4 linked regions of the Schizosaccharomyces pombe genome follow. The main gene of each other region encodes a partner of the protein of the gene in region 4 in a complex. Each region holds a gene or a part of one and is shown on either strand. Other genes may lie near its edges. The genes, in order: bot1, rsm24, rsm23 and snr1.

Region 1 (6,114 bases), 750 kb from region 4:
TTCAATTACAAAGCGACCGTTTTTTGTTAGAAGCTGCTCATGGTAGTATAGGCAAGTTGAATTACGCAAACGCCATATGAATCCAAATGTTATAATCTATCAAAAGTTGAGAATTTATCGCTAATTAAAAAACTAAAATGACTCTGAATGGAAATATAATGAAATATTGCTTGTTAGTTGCTCTCTGTATTTGCTATTTTACGAAAATTCTAACATTTGTTTTTAGAGAAAAGGGGGAAATTTTAATCAGTTTTTTACTGATTGCGTTGGAGAGCATGTTTCGAATATGTACAGTTATTTTACCTAGTCCACTTCGGAATTGGTTTTATGAGCAATCAAAAAAGTGAGTCAGCTATTACTTATACCATTGTCACTGATACTAACCTCGGGGTTTGCAGAGTATACTCGTACTTTTTGCCTGAATTGTTGGTAGATGATAACGCGAATAAATTAACTGATGCAAGAGATACCATCGATTTATGTGCACTTCATGGGTATGATCTGGAAGAACACTTTGTTCGTACAACTGATGGCTACTTGCTTGGCTTGCATCGGGTGTATAAAAAGAAAAAAGGAAAAATTGAAGAGTTAAATTATCTCCCACCTGTATTATTTATTCATGGGCTAATGATGAACTCTGAAAGTTGGGTCTGCAACTTGAAAAAGGAAGATGCCATTCCATTTGCTCTTGTGGAACAAGGATACGATGTTTGGCTTGGAAACTTACGAGGAAACAAATATAGTATAAAGAATATCAAATTCAGCTCTCAAAATCCAAAGTTTTGGGATTTCAGTCTTGATAGTATCGCTATTTTTGACATACCTTCCATTGTTAAATATATACTGTCCGTTAACAGTTTTGATTCTATAAGCCTTGTTGGATTTTCTCAGGGCGCTATATTAGCATTTGCAGCGCTGTCTATTGATACTGAACTTCGCAATTCCGTACGAGCATTTATTGCTCTAGCTCCTGCAATTGCTCCTAAAAAGTATAGTGGTAGAACCGTTAAATCTATTATTCACGCTAATAGCCAACTTCTTTACCTAATGTTCGGTCGAAATTCCATGCTTGGTTCTGCTGTGTTTTGGCAAGCAGTTTTATATCCGCCAGTTTTTGCAAAAATTGTTGATCTGTTTCTTCGCTTTTTTCTGAGCTGGACCGGAAAAAATATTTCCGAAACTCAGAAAATCGTTGCATACTCCCATCTATATTCCTTTACTTCTGTCAAATGCTTTGTACATTGGGCTCAAATTACGCGTCGCAAAGTATTACAAATGTACGATGACAGTCCAGGATTTAAGCCAAGTTACTATACAAATCTTAACCGAATTGCTCGCTATCCGATTGAAAATATACGTCTACCTATTACTTTAGTTTATGGCAGTAACGATAACATGGTGGACATTGAAACACTCAAGACCCAACTTCCACCATTATCTCAATGCATTCAGGTATGTTCTGAAACAGTTGTAGCTTCATTTACTTAAGTGGAAACTAACAAGTTAAAATTAAAGATTCCTAACTATGAGCATCTCGACATCATCATGGGAGATACGAAAAAGGACATAGTAATTCAGCAAGTCGTAGAACAACTAAATCATGTCATTGCTGGAGATTACTTTGAAAGCATAAAAGAAGAATTTGGACTTGACACAGAATTGGTTGACGGCGTTATGAACCATACAATATAGTGTTCATCGCTTCTGAAACTGGCACAATGTATATTTAATATGTTAGATAAGTTTCTGTTCTAAATCAAACTGAAGCACAGTGTTGTATAGACTGTTTCATCGTATGTGCAACCCTTCTTATCAGTATTTGTATTAAACGGCTAAAAAAAGTTTCTTTGTTTAATTTGAAAAAGTCAATATGGCAACGAAAGCAAAAAAAACTATGCAATTTTTATATGTACAAATAACTTTTAGATAATGCAACAACTAGAAGAATTTGCTGAGTGAATTTGTAACAATTCAAGATTTTATTTCGCAAAAGTTTGAAATGGATTGTACTGCCGCTAATGCATGCTAAGGGGGTAAATTTTCTTTCAAAAACGGGAAATAAATGCTTGATTTTCAGGTAGTAGATTTTTTTCTCTTAACATAAATATCCCCGCCGGTATCCCTTCTATACACATTACCAGTAGAAAGATCAATGAGCCTAAAAACACGCTTCCCAACTTCGCTGGGGCTTGAAGAAATTAGCTCTTCATCTTCATTCAAATCTTTGTGCTCATCAGATGTTTTGTGGAAGTGAGTAGCGTTTTGTCTCATGTTTAATTCCTCAATCGAAGGCCACTTCAGGATTTTAGCAGCCTCTTGAGGTGTAAACGTTTCTCCCTCAGGCAAACTCTTCCAAAGGGATACTGGATTGGAACGCAAAGGAATATCGTTTCCGTCATTAAACTGCATCATCTCAGGTTTAGTACATGCGTTCAGCATTTTCTCCATAACTTCATTATAACTATGAAGAATCGGCTTCTTTTTTTCTTCGAATTCATCATTTATTCTTCTCAACTTTATAAGAGCTTCAATCCTTTGTGGAGATGTGTTGAATTTTCGAGCAAGCACTTCTATACTTGCACCCTGCAAGTATTCATCGGTAATTTTCATACGCAAAGAATGAGATATAGGCCTAGGAGGCTTAAAAAAAGGGTTTAAAGGGAAGGGCTGATTTGTATTAGGTCCCAAGCCTACATTACCAGATGATGAGGACTTTGCTTTCTGTACTTCGGGAGACATTAACCATTGAGCCATCATTAAACGTTGTTTATGACGAAGTGTATTCTTAGAAACTGAAGAAGCAACATCATTTGGGGGTGTTACAGATCTTGAGTTGCAAGCAACGTACTTTGAATCAATGTTCTTTTGAGTGTGTTTATTTAAATCAATATTTCCCCCATTGCTTAAAAATGCTCCAGTACTAAAGAATTGTTTCTTGACTGCTGAGGTATAAGTTTTATTTTGAGATAAATTAAAAGCCGTTTTAAGCCCTAACTGTGAGAATTCCACTGAATTCCTCATTTAGGTGCGTTGGAAAGGTTTCTTGTGTCACTCCCCAAAAGTTAGTAACACGCCCTAATTCTATTCATCAAGATAGATATAGAAAATAAACTTCAAAAAACCAATAATTAATGAGACGATTTAGGAAAACTCAAATTTAACCTCCGGCGGTCAAGCAATCTAGCTCCATTATAAGATCCGATTAACATACAGACGCTTGATTTATTTATGAGACAATAACTCTCAGTATGCAATAAAGTAAGATTTTGTTTATTCTATAGAATGTTTGAGAGTCAGTTCCAATATTAGGATACGAACAGTTATACACATCAATACTTAAAAAATAAATACACAATTTAAGTCATAATTTCTACAGAATCAAACGAAAAAAATTCATTAAATACGGTCATTGCTTCTTTAGACAAGAGTTTCGCATGTCCTTGATATTTTTGTTTGGCAATTGACACATCAACAAATAATAAAGCGGATGGATGGCATTAAATTGATTAGGAAATTCCAAATTGAAAATTAAAGTAGAGGAAAGTTTTAGAATACATGTTATACAAACAAAACGATTTGTGTATCATATTTGTCAGAAAGTTCATAACCAACAATCTCAGCTTAATACCTAAGTTTATTATATTCGGCAAAAAAGGGGAAATAGGTTTAAGGAAACATTTATAAACTTACCTCAAATTATTTAGAGAGTAACCAAAAACCCAAAAAGCAATCAACTAATGAAGAGTGCATGGGCTTAACAATTATTCTAAAAACTTTAACTGAGATGTTTATTTCAAATGTTGAAAGGGAGACAATTCAAAAAGATTTTTAAAGTTAAACGACAATAGGCATATAATTGACCCTACTAAGGCAAAATCCAAAGTGCCTTTCAAAGACCATTTTGTATTTGACCGACTAAATCGTAACCCACTTCCTTTCAGTCTATTATCATAATGTACATTATTGCGAATATGTGTTTTAGAGAAAGCATTTTATGAAGTCATTATTTGGTATCCGAGGAACACTTCAGTAGTAGTTCCTTGCCATCCTCGATTTCCACTAGCTGAAAACATGAATTGACAAGAAGTGTCTACATAAAGCGAACTGACAAGACCTCCATGATGACCTGGAATAATTAAGAACCCTATGCCGGCCTTGCTTTGAAGATCATAAAGGCGGATATTATCAAAGGAGGAAATTACAAGGTGACGGCCATTCGGCATCGAATAGACATTTGAAACAGGACCCGAATCGAGAGGCATTTTTAAAGAGCGAACAGGCTCCTTGCCAGAGTGAATGTTATATTCTTCGACGATTCCATTTCGGCGGCCAATATATATATTATTTCCATCCGGACTCCAACATGCAGACATAGCCCATGGTGGTACACCCTTGGGGACGGGGTATTTGAGAACAGAATCGACCATGCGATGGTCCCATACATTCATAACTCCATCTATAGACGTCGTTAAGAAAATATTGGACTCTTCGGATGAAGATTCGGAAGGAGCTTTTATGTTGTCATTGTTAGTAGTAGATTCGGTTTGAGAGGGTTTTTCTGTCTCGTTCTCCTCATTTGCTTGAACAGATTTAGTTTCTTCTTCAATGGCTTTTTCCACCTCTTCATCAAACAGTGCATCGTAAGAAGAGGAAGACGCAGGTGTACCGAACAAACTACGCATGTCGTCCGATTCAGAACCCCAAGGATTTACAGCGCCTGATGGACGATAAACTATATTCGAAATTTGACCACTCTCACAATTGTATGTAGATATTGCATCACCAGTGTTAAGGTCCCAGTAATAAACCATTTTGTCCCAGCTTCCACTCAATACTTTTTTCTCGGAACCATGTAATGCTAAACACGAAACAGGAGCCGTATGCTTTTTTAAAGAAGTAACGGGATAACCCTCTTGATGTCTTGTAGAGTACAGTATAATATCTCCATTATTGACGCCCGAAAGAACCCAAAGACCTCTGGAATGAGCTGCAAGGCTATATACCGAAGATGGTTTATTTCCATCGTAAGCATTCTCCCAGTAGTTGAGTAATATTCCAGCCTTCGTTACTGTATCCACAAAGGGATGTCTCTGTGCAACAGTCAGGGAGAGATCACCATTAATGCTAGGAAAAAAATCATACTTCCTTATATATCCGTCTTCCCCACCAGTGAAAAGCCATTTTAAATCCGATGTGAAAGCAAATGCGTTTATGCTGGTAGCCATAGGGATTGCCAGGGTAGGCACCACATCATAAAAGCTGGCCGTTGAAGCCTTTTGTTTTAATTTCTCAAGTGGATTTTCCTTTGGTGTTTCTTCAGTTTCCTTCTTTTCAGAGGTTTGCTCAGTATCTTCATCGTTTTCGTTTTCATCTTCCATTGTATCCATCTCCACGTCTTCTTCACCGGACTTCTCATCAACCGCGTCTACATCCTCATCTTCTTTTTCGTTCATTACATTTTCTTCAGGATTTTTATCCTGATCCATATCCGCATCATCATCGTCTTCTGGATAAAGTCCTAGATTTGAAGTCAGTAAGAAGTGATATCTCGTTTATAAAACGAACCGTCAGAAGGTAGCAACATTGGATATGAAAAGGACTCACTCTCTTCTGCTTCCATCTTTAAAATATACACAAAAAGAGTTGTAACCTTAAAATGCTGCAATGCAGCAACAATATGTTTTGTTTACGTTCCCTCTGAGATATTAAAAGGAATTATAAGTTTAAGACCGTTGAATATATTTAGCGTAGACGCTATACCTCAATAAAAAGCTTTAATAAAGTCTTAAGTTTCACTGAATGTTACCATTAGAGTACAACTAAACGATCCTTATTTCGTTTAAGATAAATAAGTAGCGAGAGAAAACACTATTCCGCAATGAACATTAGGTAAATGAATGGGGAAGTTTGACAAGGTAAACTTTGTTTTTTATAATCAATCTACTTTCATAGAAAAAATAGGAAGCACTTTCTCTTTGGAAACATATTTCTGTTATTCGCCGTAGCACCCAGTATACTACTTTTATGGTTTCACGTCGCCCGTACTAAGAAACAACAAAAAGATTGATACTTATGGCAGGTATGTTGAAAAATCAAGTATTAGAATATGTGTTT
Region 2 (5,804 bases), on a different chromosome or scaffold from region 4:
CTGCCCGGAAAACACCTTTGCTAATTCCTCCTCCTGATTTTACCACAGACCAATTAACTGATAGCCAATTGACCGGTACCTGCGAAGTACAAGTCCTGAGATCTGCCGGACTATGGTCTTTAGGTTTAGTTGATACTGTTGAGCAAAGTATTCAGAATGCTTATGTTACGTGCATAGAAAAGAGCGAACATTTTATTTATATTGAAAATCAATTTTTCGTAACCTCTACCACTTGTGAAGGTACGACGATAGAAAATCGTGTTGGAGATGCTTTAGTTGAGAGGATTATAAGGGCTCACAAAAATAATGAAAAATGGCGTGGTGTTATAATGATTCCGTTGCTTCCCGGTTTTGAAGGTCAGATAGATTTACAAGAGGGCGGTAGTCTTAGGTTGATTGTGGAATGTCAATATCGCAGCATTTGCCATGGTGAACATTCAATATTTGGAAGGTTAAATGCCAAGGGTATTGATGGCAGCAAGTACTTGCGTTTTTATGGTTTGCGCGGTTGGGCCCATTTGGGAGAAAACCATGAACTTGTGACTGAAATGATCTATGTTCATGCTAAAATTCTTATTGCAGACGATCGAGTTGCGGTCATTGGTTCCGCAAACATTAATGAACGTTCTTTGCTTGGTAACCGCGATTCTGAAATTGCTGCGGTAATTAGAGATACTCTAACCATTGACTCCAAGATGGACGGTAAGCCCTATAAAGTTGGAAAATTTGCACACACTCTTCGGAAACGACTTATGAGGGAGCACTTAGGTTTAGAGACCGATGTGCTTGAACAACGAGAATACAACATGGATGGCTTGGATCGCGATACAGAGTGGAAACGTGTAGAAGTCTGGACTCCTGATGAAGGCAATGCCATTAATGGTTCTGCTTACACTGCTGAAGAGTTGAAAATGAAATATCGTTCTCAGAGTCAATTTACCACTACTCCAGACATCTTACGAAAAGCTGAAAAGAGTATGAAGAAACTAGATCAACGTGTCAGTTTAATTCCTTCTTCGATTGAATTCAATATTAAAACTCAAAAGGACAAGGTCGAGTTTGAAAAGAACTACGAGAAGTCTAAAAAAGGGCCTGATGTTATAGCCAACGCCCTAGTAGGCGGCATCCCCTTATCACTGAAAACAAAGGAGGACTCATTATATGAACTTTCCAAGTTCTCTCAATGTGGGGAGGATCAACGTCCAATGGTACTTAAAGACCCTGATCATCTAGTGCCTGAACCCAGTCGTCCACACTGTGGAAATGGACTTGTGTTTTATGATGATATACCATTGCTTGAGGTGAATCCTATTAGTGGAGAAACAATTCCTAAATTTGACGCTTCAAGCTTTGAGGACCCCGTCTGCGATGAATTTTTTGAAGACATATGGTCTAAAGTGGCTTCAAACAATACTACTATTTATCGGCACATATTTCGATGTGTACCGGATGACGAGATGCTAACGTGGGAATCATATAATGAGTGGAAAAAATATGGAAAACGCTTTAAAGAAGAGCAAGCCCGCTGGCGTCAGGAGGAGTTGTCAAATCTACACGAAACTCATGAAAAGTCAGAGAATGATCCAAAAAATCCAAAGGCTGGTTCCCAAGGTAGTGGTAACACGAGTGCAAGTGAAGATTCGAAGACAGAGAAACCAAAAACCCGTACTAATAATGGTTTACAAGTTCCTGACAAACGTGTAGTTTACGACTTACTACGTGGCATTCGGGGACAGTTGGTAGAACTTCCATTAAAATGGATGTCTACCGAATCAAACGCAAGAAATTGGCTCAGTAGTATTGACAAAATCCCTCCGTTAGAAATTTATGATTAGAGAAACAGTACCTTTTATACTACAGTTTTATTTCATCTTAATATAGTAATGAGAAGGATTAATTCCTTCAATATTAGCTTACATTATAGACTCGTTAATTTTAATAGTAACTTAAACAAACTTTCCTTTCATATTATTCATCTGTAGTTGCTATCGATTCTCGTTCAAGTACTGTATTATGTGATTGCTTGCCAATCGTTGTTTTCTTTTTAGAAGTGAGTGTAGTTGCGTCTGCGAGCCATTCCTGTGGCATCCGTTTATCACACTTCTTGTATTTCCAATGGCCAGTATTCAATGGGACATGTGAAAATTTTTCAGCATTTCTCTTCGATTCTTCAATGAGCGAAGTTAATATCTTTATAAGATGATATTTATTTTGTAGTGCAGAAGAATACTTGTCGGAAGATATTCTGACTAAATCCTCCTCCGGATTATATCTTGGTCCAACCAATAATCGTAATACATGTCGTTGTTTCTCCTCTAGCAAAGGAATATTCGTAACTTTAAATGTAACAACGACCTTCGGATTCATTTTCTCAAACGAAGACATTTGGACATCAGATTCAAACCTAAAGATCTGGCTATCAGCAGGCTTTTTAAAAGACTGTGTGTAAGCTATAATTGTCAGAGAAAATGGAACATTAAGCATATTAAAGTGATTGTGAAATAGAATTCCTAAGGTAAAACTACCCAGTAAACTTACGCGTAAGTCCAGGAAGCTCATAAGCAGCTTTCCTATACAATTCACGTATGACCTCGTGCTCTTGTATTTTCTGCCATGATAGATTATTGGAATGGACGTTATCATCAATTGTTTTCAATTCCTTCTCGTCATGAGGCTCGATTCCAAAAGGCGCTGACACATAAGCACTTCGCTTAAATCTTGTAAAATAGAAAACAGAGAAAGCTCTACTAGTAGCACAAAAGCTTGATTTGGAAAGTTGCCCGAGGAATATGGCATCTGCTTTCAATAAAGATAAAAGGGGATTAAAAGCCATTTTATAACCACCCAAAACACTAAATATATGTAATATTTGTATTATAAAAAAAAATAAACCACATTTAACGAATGCGCAGTAGTGTATGATACCGGATTTTATATTTTCTTTGAAACGAAAAGAGTGGCCGTTATAAATGGAAATCTGAATCTAACAAAAACTTTTTTTCTAAAATTTAACAATCCAAATGCTCAAAACAATTAAATAAGCTACAAAAAGGTACTTGAAGGGGATAGTGAAGAATGTATAAACATTGTTGTCCTTGACTTGACTTCGTTGTATATAATTATAACACACTAAATCTTAGTAGTTAGAACCAGTAAAAACCACATAATAGACTGGAATGAAGGTTAGTAACGTAAAATAGCATCGATTCTACTCAATTGCATTTATAACATCTATTGAATAAAAACACCTAATAATACTTTCAAGCTTTTTTTTTTCTTAGGAATTTAATAGCACTTGCTTCCCATCCTTTTTTGGCATTCGCTGTTTAAAAAGTGTGTTAGTTATCCTTATATTTTGATTTTCGTAAGCAAGACTACACTACGTTACGCTGCGTATCACTATATGTCATCTGTTAGGATAGATTTAAGATTCGTTTACTAATAATTGCTGATAACTATTCTTTTGAGTACTTGTTTGTGTTTGATCATGTTTACTCCAAAAGATTATAAACAGAGTACATCTGAACAGAAACAGGTTCGTTTATATGTTAATTAATGGCAGGTAACAACGTAACCCATGTATAAATACTTACAACAAATTGCTACCCACATCACACCTATATATAATATGATATTACCGATCACAATGAAAACTCACAGAAGTCAAACAAGATACTACAATGCGCAGCTAGATAATATTGCACTTTCATTACTAGCGCTATTTAGTAAATAATTAAAAGAAGTTCGATTCAATTGTAAGTTTCATGAGAAAACAGGAAACTCCATTTAAGAATGATTTAAATATAAGAAAAAGACGCAATGTTTTTAAGAAAATGGGGTAAACAGAGTGATGGCAAGTCATCTGCTCAGCGTCTAGTCATTATTATTCCCTGTATGTGTTAATTCAAGCCTATCAAAGTAAAATAAAAAATTTTTTACGAAATAATCTTTTATTGAACTTGATTTAAAAAATCTGTATTTTTTATTTAACTATATTATTATGAACGTGAAATAGTGCTTAATTGGGTTCTTTAACCGTGATGTTTACAATGTTTGTATTGTATTACTTTTAAGTTAAGTAAAAACTAAATACCTTGACCCACATAACTTGTTCTTTGCAAAAATGTTAAGGAGCTGAGTATTTTAGAGTACTCAACACGAATGGAAGTCAATGCATATAACAATCTGTAGACAGTAATATTAGACTGTTAATGTTTACATGAGTCATTTGTAAAAAAAAAAAAAAAAAAAAAAAAATTATAAAATAATTGAATAAATAACCTATTACAGAAATCTTCAGACAACGATATTTTATTAATTTATTCCATTGCAATATTGCTTTAATACAATTTGGCTTGACATTGTGATGGAATTGACATGGATAATTTAAAATAATTAATTAAAAATTTTGTTGAAATTAATTGACTATTAACAATTCATGAAGTATCGTAAATCTGCCCTGATAAAATAAAATTTAAAAAAGTGTTGAAAGTGTTAATGGCTTTATAATTTGTAAACTTAGCCGTTTATTAAGTTTGAATATTGATAATTATTGAAGAATAAAGCATTATTTCCATTTTTTCTTCGTTGATTCATAGCTTTCATCAGACCTCTTCTGACCAAGGTTGACTAATGTATACAATTTGATTTTAATGACAATTCTTTCTTCTTATTAATAGTTTTTGCATAATTTTTCCCCAGCTTCTTATTTAATCCATCGAATATTTCAAATTTACTAACCCATCATCATTTTACCTTTAGATATTTTACGAGGAGCAACGCGTTACTTTAGCGGTTTAAAATTCTTTAGCTTTATGAATCAGTGTAAATTTCACTTTTGCATAAACACTAGTGTAAAAGCATTACAGGAGACCAGATTTGGTTTAAATTTAGTGGCTATAGCTAATTATCCAACATAACCCGACTAATCTTGATTTGTGGAAAGGGTAGTTATTAGTTTTGTAGTTTCTAAGAATTCTAAGTCGTGGTTTGTCCCAGTATCTTCTTTTGTCGAATTCAAACGAAATACTTAAAAATGGTTACAATTTTAAAACCTGAAGAATTCTATGTTTCTAGTGAAGCTGACATCGTAAACGATGTTTCCATGACTGAAATGGAGGATGAAATAATGGAGGATGAACAGATGGGTCTTGTAGACGGAGAAGACGTTTTAGAGGAATTTGATAAATCGATACATCAAAATTTAGTTACACCCGGACAACTAGTGACTGATGATCCTCAATTTATGCGCGGTCATGGAACGTATTTCGAGGATGGAGGAATATATGCATCTGTTGCGGGATCTGTACAAAGGGTCAATAAATTGATATCCGTGAAACCTCTTCGTTCTAAGTACGTTCCCGAAATTGGTGATTTAATCATTGGGAAAATTGCTGAAGTCCAACCAAAACGCTGGAAAGTGGATATTGGTGCCAAACAGAATGCTGTGCTTATGCTCTCTTCTATTAATCTTCCTGGTGGCATTCAAAGACGAAAACTAGAGACTGATGAGCTTCAGATGCGTAGCTTTTTCCAAGAAGGCGATCTCTTAGTTGCGGAAGTTCAACAGTACTTTTCCGATGGTTCTGTATCAATTCATACACGTTCTTTAAAATATGGAAAACTCAGAAATGGTGTTTTTCTTAAGGTTCCTCCTGCGTTGGTCGTTCGATCAAAATCACATGCTTATGCTCTAGCAGGTGGAGTCGACATTATTCTTAGTGTAAATGGATATGTATGGGTTTCTAAACATAATGAAAATCAACATTCGTCAGTGAGTATTACCAGATTGGAGGAGGAAGCCT
Region 3 (6,595 bases), 910 kb from region 4:
ACAAACGCTAGAATGGGCTCATGTTCAGGTACGTAGAAAATGTTTGTAGAATTTTGAAGCTAAAAAACAATTAGTCGAAAAATTTAAAGATAGAAAATCATTGAACCCGACGTACCTTTGCAATTTTCTTGTCAATTGAATCTGTGGAGAGAAGTAAGACCTCTTGGGAATTCGAGACGCTATCCAGGGCTGTAATTATAATATCTCGTCTCCTTTTTAACTCATTCATTCTTTGGCTAGCGATCTCAGATTTGTGACAAGCTTCCCCGAGCAACACATAGTCGGAAATGATACCCAGTGAAGCAGATCGGTAAAGCTGATTTAGTAAAAGCGGATACTTCAGAAAACGCTGCACAGGCTTTACTAAAAAACTATCTAAATTCCAAGAGTTACTTTCAATTTTTGCCATGCTATCACATTCCTGCAAATATTCTGAGATTGATGAGTTCTTCATCCATTTTTCCACCTTTTTGCCAATGTTTTCTTGAATCACGCAGTATCGACCATAGACAGCAGATAGCTTGGGCAACCATGAAAGAAATAGTTGTGCAACGGAAGGCTTAGGCTTCAAACAGGCATCTTGATCATCCAAAATGTAATTGATTTCGTCGTTCAAGGATTTGTGCATTTCGATTTCGAAAAGTGATGCTTGCTTGCACAATACCAGAAAAATCTCAAACACATCTTTCCATTCGCTTTTTTTTACTCGGTCCGATAATCGGTCAGCATAGTACCGTTGAGCTACATGCAGATCATGAACGTAAGCGGCTTCTGAATCACGAAATTCCTCCAGAACAGAAATAATGGCTTTTTGTTTACTCCTCATAGCAATCGTCGATTCTGTGGTAGTGCTACAACTAGTTCTTGTCGACCTTGTTTCAGTTTCATGTTGACTTAACGCTATGGTCCAGTCAGGCCGTAATTTCAAAGTATCTTCTAAAGTGTGTGTCGAATTGGCTATAGGCAAGCTATCTGAAACAACTCTTTTTCCACGGCTTTGGAACATCCTTGGGTTACTCATCTTTAATCGGCTGTTGATTCAATGAGTTATCTACTCAAACGCGGGCACTTAGGAGTTCGTAGCGCGTTTGATTAGATCTCACAAAGCTAAAACAGAGTAGCAAGGCCGTTGATGAGTCGATTTCTTCTTTAAATACAATGCTAATTTAATCCAAAGAGTAACGCTTTTATCAATGAAATAGTTGAATAGCTGTTTTCTTTGTTGTTGCGGACGGCAAGAATAACCAGGTTACCTTAGTGGATATAGGAAAGAATTCCGCTTTTGAAAGAATGACTACAATGATATTGTACTTTATCAACATAAGCAAAGTTATTTGTACATAAATTATTTTCTTTTCTTATTTTTTAAAACTAACTAGTGGTCTTTGGGGATGCATTAAGTATTTGCTTAAAATATCGAACGTAAACAATACTTAGAAAATTAATGATATACACCATAAAATCGACGAAGTAGCCAACCGAGAAACAAATGATAATATTGGTAAGCTTTTTTTTGGATTAATGAGTTTTTCTTTAATTTTTTTTCTATTTATTTGCATTTTTTAAATTTTTTTTATTATTACTACTAAAAGCATCAATCTCATATCAAAATTAATTATTATGTTAAATATTTAAATAAACAAGTCAGTATTAGAAAACTTATTATACACTCGGTTTAAAAATGATTAGAAATTGAAGTATGGCTTGCACATTTATTTATATAATCTACTAAAAATTTATGTTTACCACTCAAAAGGATATGTTTTGATTGAGTATATCATTCATAGAAAATGCAAAAACCAATTTTAGAACATAAACAATTATATTTTTAAAAATTCACAGCTATATTTGCATCAGCCGGGAGTCGAACCCGGAGCTAGAGCATGGGAAGCTCCAATGTTACCGCTACACCACTAATGCATTCAGATATTTAGACTGATGTTGCAATCTATATAGTAATTTAGAAAGGATTGTTATTGTTGAGTCTGATGAAATTCTGTTTGTTGAACATTTCAAAAATGTTGCATATCAGTTAGCCATGAGTTGGGCTCTTAATATGATGTTCCAGCCTTTTAAGACTGCATACAGAAAATAATAATTAACTACGATATGGTCGCATTTTAACTGTATGAAACTTTTTTTACAAGAGGTTATTAGAAAATTCAATTGGAGGAAATCCCACAGTGTATCAAAACAGTTGCTGTTAAAACTTACTTTACACTTAACTCGTAAACATTCAACATTTTAACGTTCGATTTTCGAGTAGCAGCTTCAAAAAAGTGCTCGTTAATTTTTAACACATAAAAATGTGTAAACAAAGCAGCCACATAACCGATGTCTTACATATTCCTTCTGTACCCGTTGATATCCCAATTGAAGAAGGGATTTTAGTTGTAGCAAACAAAAACAAACGATAATAACAAAATAAAAATGATATTATACCACTTAACCCATGAATAGCTAAATTATAGTAAATTTTTAAATTAAGAAAAATTTTTTTTAAGCAGGACCAATTAATGGCGACGAGAGCGCTTGATTTTTTTTGAGGTATTTCTCACTTGCTTGGAAGTAAGCTTCTTTTCCTTTTCTCCCTCTTCAACAAGCCATTGTGTCTCTAATTCCTTATTTTTACCCTTATAACCCCATTTTGGTACCCATTCACCAGATGCTTCATCAAACACCAACCTGCCTTCCCGCTTCTTAGGAGCAATACCTTTAATACGAGCAAACCGTTGCCATTTGGTTTCGGGCTTGGGTTTAGGTAAAGGTTTAGCACGAGGAAGAGGTGTAACAGTTTCAGGAAGCTGTAAAAGGACGCCATCTGATGTACGCTCCTTAGGCAAGGAAATCATTTTGTTCACCAATTGTTGAACGTTATCTCTACTGAGAGAAAAAAGGAATGATTCTTTCTCTGAACCGCTAAGCTTAGTTTCATCTAAGGGAGAAATATCAAATGCAGCCATATTTCCCAAATCGAAATCTAGAGGAATGGAGTTTTCTATTTGTGCAGACATGATTAACGAAATAGGGACAAGGAAAAAAAAAGGGTTGATAATACAATTAAGTGACAAAAAGTTCTCAAAAAAGACTGCAAAATTGATTTGTTAAAAAGTTGGTTCAGGATACGAAATTCTTCTTTCAAACTCCAAAATTTTTATCAAACTACTGAATATATAAGAGAAAAAGCTCTCTTTCAGTTCAGCAATCTACTGTTTTTACTTTCTTTATGACAAACGAAGAAAGTAAGAAAACTTTTACGATTCTTTAGTTTTTGCAAAAGTAGAGACACTTATTAGCAATACGTTAGTTCTCTTTATTACTGAACGCCAAATCTACCCTATTAAAAAATATTAGCAATGCGCTAAGAGCTCAGTAAATACTTACCATCCGGAAGCAGTCAGTCTCTTCATTTACGTGAGAACAGATATGTATACTTAAGATTTACGAGAAAAAAATACCTCTAACAAAATGCTACCGAAGTTTAGAAGCAGAAGTAGTATTATTAAGAATACAGAGAGAATTTCTAATATCCTGTCCGGTGGAAAACTGACTGTTTGCGGTAGTAAACTGGGAGGACTCTACACTTTTGAAAAATGCACATTTAACAAATACTATTCATCCTCACAATACCAGCATACGGGTAGACCTGTTGGAGGAAATATACATTCAAGCTCTAACCAGCAGCGTCAAAAAAATTCGGAAGCGCCAAGAATTAATGAAATTCCCCCCTCAACTTCGTCAGTAGAGAAATCGACGACTATTCCCAATAGTAGCGTTGTATTGGATCATCTCTTAAATGAAGGAGAAAATACTTTAGAAGAGGTGAAGCCCTCTGAAATTCATCCGCATATGTCTTGGTCCAGCAAGTCTGAAGGTAAGATGTTTAAAATCCCCGAGGAATTGCTTAATAAACTTAATGGATTTGGGGCTTTAGAAAAACAAAAAAAAAGTTTCTCCTTTTTTACCAGTGCTTCCCTTTTGCACAGGAAAATTACAACTGAATTAGTGAATGTACTGCAGCGCTCCAAAGACCAGGGTACGAAGGACGGACGTTTTCTTCTTGATGGTGCTCCAGGTTCAGGAAGAAGTATTGCTCTCATACAAGCTGAACTTTTCGCCTTATCACAACCTAATTTTATAGTCTTGCCAGTCCATAACTGCGAAGGATGGGTAAATTCAACGAGTAGTTATGGTTATGATGAGCAACTCAAGTTGTGGGTGCAACCAGATTTAATTAAGGGATTTCTAACTTCTGTTATGAAAACTAATTCTGATAAACTTAAGAAGCTAAAGACCTTTGAAAGTCATGAGTTGCTTCAGAACGAATGCATTCCTGCTGGTACCGATTTACTTTCCTTTCTTCATAAGCTAATTGCTTCCTCGAACGCTCCTAAATCTCTGGAAATATTTTTACAAGAACTCAATAACAATACCAAGTCAAATTCCAATATGAAGGTGTTATTAGTGATCGATAATATTTCTATTTTATCGGTCGTTACCAAGTATAAGGACAAAAAGAACAACTTCCTTCCCCCTAAAGACTTTTACTTTATTAATTTACTTTTCAAATATATTTCGGGTTCGCTTACTTTTAATCGTGGTACTGTTTTAGCTGCTACTTCTAGCCAACCGCGTGTTTCTACCCCGTCATTGGATATAGCTCTTGGAGTAGCTCACAGAAATCCTTACAAATCTTCTGATGAGACTATATTAGATTCATTACAGTCCGTGCATATTCTTAACATGGAGCCTTACACTTTAGATGAGTCACGTCGCATGATGGAGTATTTGGTATCATCCAACGTTTGCCTTGAAAAGGTTGATAATTATTTGCAAAATCATGTCCTTAGTGGTGGTAATCCGCGAAAGTTTTTTGATGCTTGCACACGTCTAGCATGATTGAGATATTCAAAAATTTCTATCCACTACAACTCCTTTAACGCGGTTTTATTTTTCTATTTTCTATTCTCATGTTGTTCCAAATATGTATCATCTCGTATTAGGCTTTTTTCCGTTTTACTCCTGGAATCGTACCTTTTTCACTATTCCCCCTAATGAATAATCTAAATTAGTTTCGCTTATAATTGATAGTAGTAGAAAGATTGGTGATTCTACTCGTGTAATGTTATTAGTTTAAAGATACTTTGCAAAACATTTATTAGCTATCATTATATAAAAAAAATCCTATAATTATAAATATTAATCAATATTTGCGGTCACTATTTATTTAAAACGTTATGATCAGTAGGACACTTTGCATATATATAGTTATGCTTAATGGTTACTTGTAACTTGCATGACCGAACACCATACCCCCAAAAGCAGGATTCTTCGCTTTCTAGAGAATCAATATGTATACCTATGTACCTTAAATGATTATGTACAACTTGTTTTGAGAGGGTCGCCGGCAAGCTCGTATAGCAATATATGCGAACGCTTGAGAAGCGATGTACAAACGTCCTTTTCTATTTTTCTTCATTCGACTGTAGTCGGCTTCGACAGTAAGCCAGATGAAGGTGTTCAATTTTCTTCTCCAAAATGCTCACAGTCAGAGGTATATATATTTTTGTTTTGATTTTTTTCTATTCGGGATAGCTAATATATGGGCAGCTAATAGCGAATGTTGTAAAACAGATGTTCGATGAAAGTTTTGAGCGTCGAAGGAATCTACTGATGAAAGGGTTTTCCATGGTAAGGTATTCTAATTGTGAAATATTTACCTGCAATTACTGTTTCAAAGAGATTGTATTTAACCGATAAAGAATCATGAAGATTTTCGAGCCATGCATGTAAACGGAGTACAAAATGATCTCGTTTCTACTTTTCCTAATTACCTTATATCTATACTTGAGTCAAAAAATTGGCAACTTTTGTTAGAAATGTAAATACCGGTTAAGATGTTGCGCACTTTGAACAAGACTGACAAGTATAGTATCGGCAGTGATGCCATGCATTACTTATTATCCAAAGGAAGTATTTTTGAGGCTCTTCCAAATGACAATTACCTTCAGATTTCTGGCATACCACTTTTTAAAAATAATGTGTTTGAGGAAACTGTGTCAAAAAAAAGAAAGCGAACCATTGAAACATCCATTACTCAAAATAAAAGCGCCCGCAAAGAAGTTTCCTGGAATAGCATTTCAATTAGTAGGTTTAGCATTTTTTACAGGTCATCCTATAAGAAGTTTAAGCAAGGTAACTAATACTGTTATCCTTCATAACTAATTTTAGATCTATATTTTAACTTACACTCTATTTGTGATCGGAACACAGTACACATGTGGCTTCAATGGATTTTTCCAAGGCAATTTGGACTTATAAACGCATTTCAAGTGAAGCAATTGCACAAAGTGATTCCACTGGTATCACAGAGTACAGTTGTGCCCAAACGTCTCCTAAAGGTATACCCTTTAATTGAACAAACAGCAAAGCGACTCCATCGTATTTCTCTATCAAAAGTTTACAACCATTATTGCCCATATATTGACACCCACGATGATGAAAAAATCCTTAGTTATTCCTTAAAGCCGAACCAGGTGTTTGCGTTTCTTCGATCCATTCTTGTTCGAGTGTTTCCTAAATTAATCTGGGGTAA
Region 4 (6,132 bases):
ATAAATCACTACCTCTTGTAACTCTAAGTTTAGTTACTTCGATTGTCAAAACGTAATTATTATATGAACACAAGTAGAGATGTCTATTCATTCTCTTCACCAATCTTTCAAAAGAATTATATTGAATACCTCTAATTTGTTGCTGAGACCTAAAACAATTGCTTTTCAAACAGCAGGAACCCATCTTTTGCTACATATGTTTACCTTACTAATGAGAAGTTATGAGCTGCAAATAATAACACTGCGATGCTACTAATGTCATTAAGTTAGCTTTAGCGTTGTTTACCTTCGTTAACTAGAGGTTTTACAGATTGTTTCGAACTCGTAAAAATTTTTAGCGTTGCAGAATTGTGTTCGTAGTCACACCAACTGTAATCCTCTCTGCTATCCTAAAAATTTTACAGACCCATTACCTACCACAAAAAAAAATAATGGCATATACACCAGGTTCAAGAGGTGGACGAGGTGGCTCTAGAGGAGGCCGTGGTGGTTTCAATGGTGGCCGTGGTGGTTTCGGCGGTGGCCGTGGAGGTGCCAGAGGAGGAGGACGCGGTGGTGCTCGTGGCGGTCGTGGCGGTCGTGGAGGTGCCAGAGGAGGCCGCGGTGGTTCTAGCGGTGGCCGTGGTGGAGCCAAAGGAGGTGCTAAAGTTATTATTGAGCCTCATCGTCATGCAGGTGTCTTCATTGCTCGCGGAAAAGAAGATTTGCTTGTCACCCGCAATCTGGTGCCTGGTGAATCAGTATACAATGAAAAACGTATTAGCGTTGATTCCCCAGATGGTACCAAAGTTGAATACCGTGTATGGAATCCTTTCCGTTCTAAACTTGCCGCAGGTATTTTGGGCGGTTTAGACAACATCTATATTAAACCTGGTGCACGTGTTTTATATCTTGGTGCTGCTAACGGTACATCCGTTTCTCACGTTGCTGATGTTGTTGGTCCTGAGGGTCTTGTCTACGCTGTTGAGTTTTCTCATCGTTCTGGACGTGATCTTCTTAACATGGCTAAAAAGCGCACGAATGTCATCCCCATTGTTGAGGATGCTCGCCATGTTCAAAAGTATCGTATGTTAGTCGGAATGGTTGACGTTGTTTTTGCAGACGTTGCTCAACCCGATCAGGCTCGTATCGTTGCTTTGAACGCCGCCGCCTTTTTGAAAAACGAAGGTGGAGTTGTTATCTCTGTTAAGGCTTCTTGTATTGATTCTACCGCTGATGCAGCTGTTGTTTTTGCTCGTGAGGTTAAGAAAATGCAAGAGGAAAAGATTAAACCTCAAGAACAACTTACTTTAGAGCCTTACGAACGTGATCACTGTATCATCGTAGGAAAATACTTGAGACATCAGTAAACAGAAATATATGCCATAAGTGCATGCTTTTTTAGTTTATCATATAATTTTTTTTGCTAGAAAAGCTTATGGTAAGGCCGTGAGCAATTGGAATAATAAAAATATATTTTGGGTATGCGTTTGGCAGTTTTGTCAATTATTTTCTCATTGTTTGATCCAATATGGGAATTATGGAATATATATTAATGCCGTTAGCATTCTTTTTTTTGAACTATCGTACGCACAGCTACCGAAAAAGAGTTTTAGTATGAGTATTTAAAATGGCTATCATTATTTTTAGCTGCTAAAAAGAGTTATGTGCTTTATCGCATGCTAAAACATAACAGGGTCTTTGAAATAAATCATCTTATTATAATACTGAAAAAACTTAGTAGACATAAAGAACAATATTTAATTTATGTAACCTTTGGGATTATAAATAAGGATAAGTCTTATAATTCCAAAGGGGAGTTTTACGTCTTCCTTTTGCAGCAAAAGATATCCCATTATTGTATTCTGAAGGCAACTTGAAATAGTTTTCTAAATCTTTAAAGTGATATTCATGGGATTTGCTCCATTTTGGATTTTTGGTCTTTGTAATAAGTTGAGCATTAACACCTTCAACAAAATCAGGCTGTTTAAGCATATAATAGGAAACGATATGATCATAGTAAAATGCTTCAGATATACTCCACTTAGCAGCAGACTTAATAAGTCGATTGGTAACAGCAATTGAAGTCGGAGATTTGCTATACAATGTTTTAACGGTAGATTTTGCAAATTCCGCTAAAGCACTAGTGTTTGAAGCATATTCTTTTAACGCACGAATAATATCAACGGTATCATTTTTGCAGAAGCATTTATTAATGACATCCATAACGTCTGGAGTAAAAGTGGGTGGTGAACTGCTAGCAAATTCGGCAAATTCCAGGATTGTATTATTGATTTTAGAAATATCAGACGTGTTTAACTCTGCAAGCCTGTCCTCCAAATGAGGAAACATATGCTTCGGAACGAAATGAGTTGCAATTCCAGTACGCAGGCAATCATATCCTTTTACGATTTGAGATGTCAATCCCAGATAAGTTCCAAAGTATCCTGGTAGTCTACTGAAGAAGAAACTGGCAGCCACGTCAGTAAAATAGCCAATTCCGGTTTCTGGCATAGCAAACATCGTATCTTCACACGCAATACGGAAAGGAACATGCATAGCCAAACCAGATCCACCTCCCATGGTGATGCCATTCATCAAAGCCACAACTGGTTTCTGGTATGTAGCTAACGTATGGCTTAATCGATACTCTTGAGCAAATGCATGGCGAACTTCAGGTAATTTTCCATCTTGTATTGAAAGTGCTGCAGCTTTAATGTCACCTCCCGAACTAAAAGAGCGACCATTTCCTTTAAGAATAATTACCTTGGCCAGATTTGATTCTTCTAATGAAACTAGCTTTGGTAGGATTGAATCTATCATGTCAACGTTGATAGCGTTCAATACTTTTGGCCTGTTTAAAGTAAATATCCTTGCTCCATTTTTACTCTCGTATAAAACTGTATCATTTGAGGAAGTGCTATAAAATTTTGGATTTCGAATAAACGCTCTAGACATGGTGCTACTTGCATTCAAAGAAAGGAAATTTGACACACTTGTTTTAAGTAAGGATTGCCTTAACATAAATCCAGATTTTTTCAAATCGTTAGAGATATTTAATTTCAATCCCATGAAAGCTAACCAAGTTAAATAACACCGATTATTTTTGCATAGACGGTTAACGTCTCTTCTACGTTACTTTATAACGAAGTGTGTTCTTAATTGTGAACTAATAACAAATCACAAAAGACCATTCGTAAAACAAAGTAGGTTTCCATGCATTAGCTGGGCAAATACTTGTCTCAAAAAATCTATATTTAGTATTAATTTAGTTTCTCAGGGTTTGTCGATTTTAAAAGTCTTAAACCACTTGTTGCATAGCATTGAGTACTCAAAACTGTTATTGTAATACACAGGTGCTATTTGCAACAACAATTTAAGGTGTCAGAATGAGCAAATTCCAAATATTTAATGTACGACATCACATAGTATAAATAATTATTTCTTCTATTTTAGGTAATGAATGAGATATCATTAATTTATCTAACAGTATACAGTCATAAAGTTCCTGTTGCATAAAACAACGTAATTTAATGAACTCGATACTTTACGCTTTACGATACTTTTGAATGCACAATATGTTATAATGAAATGCATTGTGATACTTAGTACATTGTGTTAGACTAATTGAAAGTAAAATACATCCATTCTTCAGGTACTAGTCGTCCATTTCACAAACTAATCAGAATGACAGCAAAAATGTTGCACTTGGTGCGATATAAATTTCCGTCGTTGGAGCCCGCGAGTCTTTTTCTTATTCCCGGAAGTTTCCTGCAAGAAAGATTTCGTCGAGATATTTTGCATCGTGCCGTTATTTATGAAGCAGATAATGACCGTCAAGGCACTGCTAGCTCAAAGCGCCGAAATGAAATTACTTGTTCCGGTCGAAAACTTTATCGACAAAAAGGTACAGGACATGCACGGGTAGGCGATGCCTCAAGTCCTATAAGAAGAGGTGGTGCTAAATCACATGGTCCTAAGCCTAGAGATTTCAGTACAAAATTACAAACCCAAGTTTATAATTTAGCAATGAGGATTGCGCTAAGTACAAGATTTATTAATAATGAACTGACCATCCTTGAAAATCCCATCAACTTAAGTCAACCAAAAACACGGATTTTGCTTGAAGTTTTGAAGCAACACAAGTTAGGACACGAGTACGGGAAGGCACTTTTTGTCCTTAACGATAATTACTTTGAAGATGAGTCCCTTAAAAATAATAATTTATTGCTTGCATCTAGACAGTTAGGCTACCATTGCTCCTTTATTCCTGTTGGTGAGTTTCAGGTTCGAGATGCACTAAAATTCGGTAAACTATTTATTGATTCTGAAGCCATGTCGTTAATTGTAGAGAAGTTTGCTCAACGAAATACACTAAGTGATATGGATCAACCTGCTTCCCTGACTGCTTATGTTGATGCAAATAGTAGTTCTTTTACGAAATCAAAACCTGAACCGTCTTTATCTCTATGATATGAAATAAACGCATATCTTTCAATTGTTTTTGAATTTCATGAATCTACATTTTCCGATTTTGGTAGTTACGGAAACATTATAATCCACAATCATTAATTCTTTTTTCAATCCTTTCTCTTGTCGTGTTTAAATTTTTTAATTTCGGCTTATTTAGTTTACTGTCTTGATTAGTTACCTCTTGGTTAACAATGGCTGGCATGTTCCGTATTCCTATTGCCGTCGTTCAGATTGCTGCATTTGTGCATCAAATTCATGAGTATCTTTTTCAAGTGCAAATGACATCGGGTCCAAGTATGATGCCAACATTAAATTCTGGGTATTGAAATAACGCTTTGTATTTATGGTTCTAACTTAAAAAGTGGTGAATTCGTTTTGTTAGATAAATTGCATGGTAGGTTTGCTCGTTCATGTTCTGTAGGAGATGTTGTTGTTTCGGCAAAACCTTCCGATTCAAAGCAACACGTGTGCAAACGAATCATTGGAATGGTGAGTATTTCACATGGAACGTTATCCTTTTTGTACTAATTTTATAGCCAGGAGATACAATTTATGTCGATCCCACCTCTTCAAATAAAAAAATAACTATACCTTTAGGTCATGTTTGGCTTGCAGGAGATAACATTGCTCACTCACTTGATAGTCGAAATTACGGACCTGTTCCAATGGGCCTTATTAAGGCTAAAGTTATAGCTCGTGTATGGCCACATCCCCACTGGATGTCTAACATTTTGAATGACATAGATGTGGAATAGGTATTATGAGCATTAAATATTATTCTACAACTCACTCTTGGCTCACCAGATGTTAATTGAAATGTATGAATTTATTAATATTTTTATGTTAGTTGGCAATTACTTGTTTGAAAAAAATGCTAATTCTAAAAACAAAAGAGAGACTTCAAAGATCGCCTCATAAACACTAATTAAAGATTAATAACTATGAAAAATTAAATTAAAGTACAAGATTAATGATAAGTAATAAAGCATGAAATAAATGTGTTTTAAATAAAGAATAAATCGTAGCAATCTCAGCTGCTGGACAATCAAATAGATGCAGCGAAACATGCTATAATCTTACCAATCACTGCAAAAACTCGAACCCAAAAATCCATCACCATCATCATAAAGACGATTTGGGGCAAACCCAAAGAGTCGCTCAACATGTGAACACGAGGACTCATGTTCCTGAAGTTTACTAATTGAAAGGAAAGGCTTCGTGCAGTAGCAACAAATGAATCGCGAGCGTGACAGTAAGGGACTACTGTGAAAAACTAAATCGGCATCATCAATATGCCTTCGTTTTGATGGGGGAGTAGAGAGCTCTGCTTTTGATGTTGATGTGTCATATTGCCTTTTACCTTTTAAAGCTTGCTTAGCTGCAATTCTGGCATCACATAATGTGCTATCACTATGACAAACACGCATAGGAATTCCACCGTAAGCAATTTCTTCATTTCCAAAATTACAGTCGGAAACATTAAGGGCCCGGCCTTCTTGTTGAAAAAATTTTGGTGTAACAGCAGGATATTGGATATCACCATTTAGGTTTGAGTAATTAAAGCCATTATTCCATGCCTGCATCCTAGTGTTTAATTGATCACAATTATTATCAGTACTCGTGACTGGACCATCGTTAGTATTCAATGCATAAACGTTGGGATCGAAAGGGAAAGCTGCT

The links.
Region 1: snr1 (region 4) and bot1 share a complex: the UniProt entries of both Schizosaccharomyces pombe proteins name them as parts of the mitochondrial small ribosomal subunit.
Region 2: snr1 (region 4) and rsm24 share a complex: the UniProt entries of both Schizosaccharomyces pombe proteins name them as parts of the mitochondrial small ribosomal subunit.
Region 3: snr1 (region 4) and rsm23 share a complex: the UniProt entries of both Schizosaccharomyces pombe proteins name them as parts of the mitochondrial small ribosomal subunit.

Annotation. Positions count from the first base shown.
Region 1 is NC_003423.3:2,230,091-2,236,204, forward strand, and holds bot1 (mitochondrial ribosomal protein subunit S45), read right to left. Parts: upstream 3,033-6,114; 5' UTR 3,022-3,032; coding exon 2,074-3,021; 3' UTR 1,693-2,073; coding exon of another isoform or gene 1,516-1,692; 3' UTR 1,453-1,515; downstream 1-1,452. Other genes in the region: SPOM_SPBC14C8.15 (triglyceride lipase-cholesterol esterase), read left to right, coding at 138-172, 227-343, 399-1,452, 1,516-1,692; SAGA complex subunit Spt8, read right to left, coding at 3,993-5,518, 5,566-5,620. UniProt on the Schizosaccharomyces pombe protein: Component of the mitochondrial ribosome (mitoribosome), a dedicated translation machinery responsible for the synthesis of mitochondrial genome-encoded proteins, including at least some of the essential transmembrane subunits of the mitochondrial respiratory chain.
Region 2 is NC_003424.3:561,199-567,002, reverse strand, and holds rsm24 (mitochondrial 37S ribosomal protein mS35), read right to left. Parts: upstream 3,078-5,804; 5' UTR 2,834-3,077; coding exon 2,539-2,833; intron 2,530-2,538; exon of another isoform or gene 2,451-2,529; coding exon 1,969-2,450; 3' UTR 1,930-1,968; downstream 1-1,929. Other genes in the region: phospholipase D Pld1, read left to right, coding at 1-1,835; exosome subunit Rrp4, read left to right, coding at 5,036-5,804. UniProt on the Schizosaccharomyces pombe protein: Component of the mitochondrial ribosome (mitoribosome), a dedicated translation machinery responsible for the synthesis of mitochondrial genome-encoded proteins, including at least some of the essential transmembrane subunits of the mitochondrial respiratory chain.
Region 3 is NC_003423.3:2,064,812-2,071,406, reverse strand, and holds rsm23 (mitochondrial 37S ribosomal protein mS29), read left to right. Parts: upstream 1-3,416; 5' UTR 3,417-3,468; coding exon 3,469-4,899; 3' UTR 4,900-5,220; downstream 5,221-6,595. Other genes in the region: gef3 (RhoGEF for Cdc42/Rho3/Rho4 (Gef3)), read right to left, coding at 1-59, 116-1,021; ribosome biogenesis protein Rrs1, read right to left, coding at 2,514-3,014; telomerase reverse transcriptase 1 protein Trt1, read left to right, coding at 5,297-5,554, 5,611-5,691, 5,763-5,881, 5,933-6,195, 6,232-6,595. UniProt on the Schizosaccharomyces pombe protein: Component of the mitochondrial ribosome (mitoribosome), a dedicated translation machinery responsible for the synthesis of mitochondrial genome-encoded proteins, including at least some of the essential transmembrane subunits of the mitochondrial respiratory chain.
Region 4 is NC_003423.3:2,977,981-2,984,112, reverse strand, and holds snr1 (mitochondrial 37S ribosomal protein mS47 ), read right to left. Parts: upstream 3,112-6,132; 5' UTR 3,052-3,111; coding exon 1,762-3,051; 3' UTR 1,673-1,761; downstream 1-1,672. Other genes in the region: fib1 (fibrillarin, rRNA and histone methyltransferase), read left to right, coding at 432-1,349; yml6 (mitochondrial 54S ribosomal protein uL4m), read left to right, coding at 3,667-4,452; mmp1 (endopeptidase catalytic subunit), read left to right, coding at 4,644-4,771, 4,815-4,941, 4,989-5,207; MBF transcription factor activator Rep1, read right to left, coding at 5,529-6,132. UniProt on the Schizosaccharomyces pombe protein: Component of the mitochondrial ribosome (mitoribosome), a dedicated translation machinery responsible for the synthesis of mitochondrial genome-encoded proteins, including at least some of the essential transmembrane subunits of the mitochondrial respiratory chain.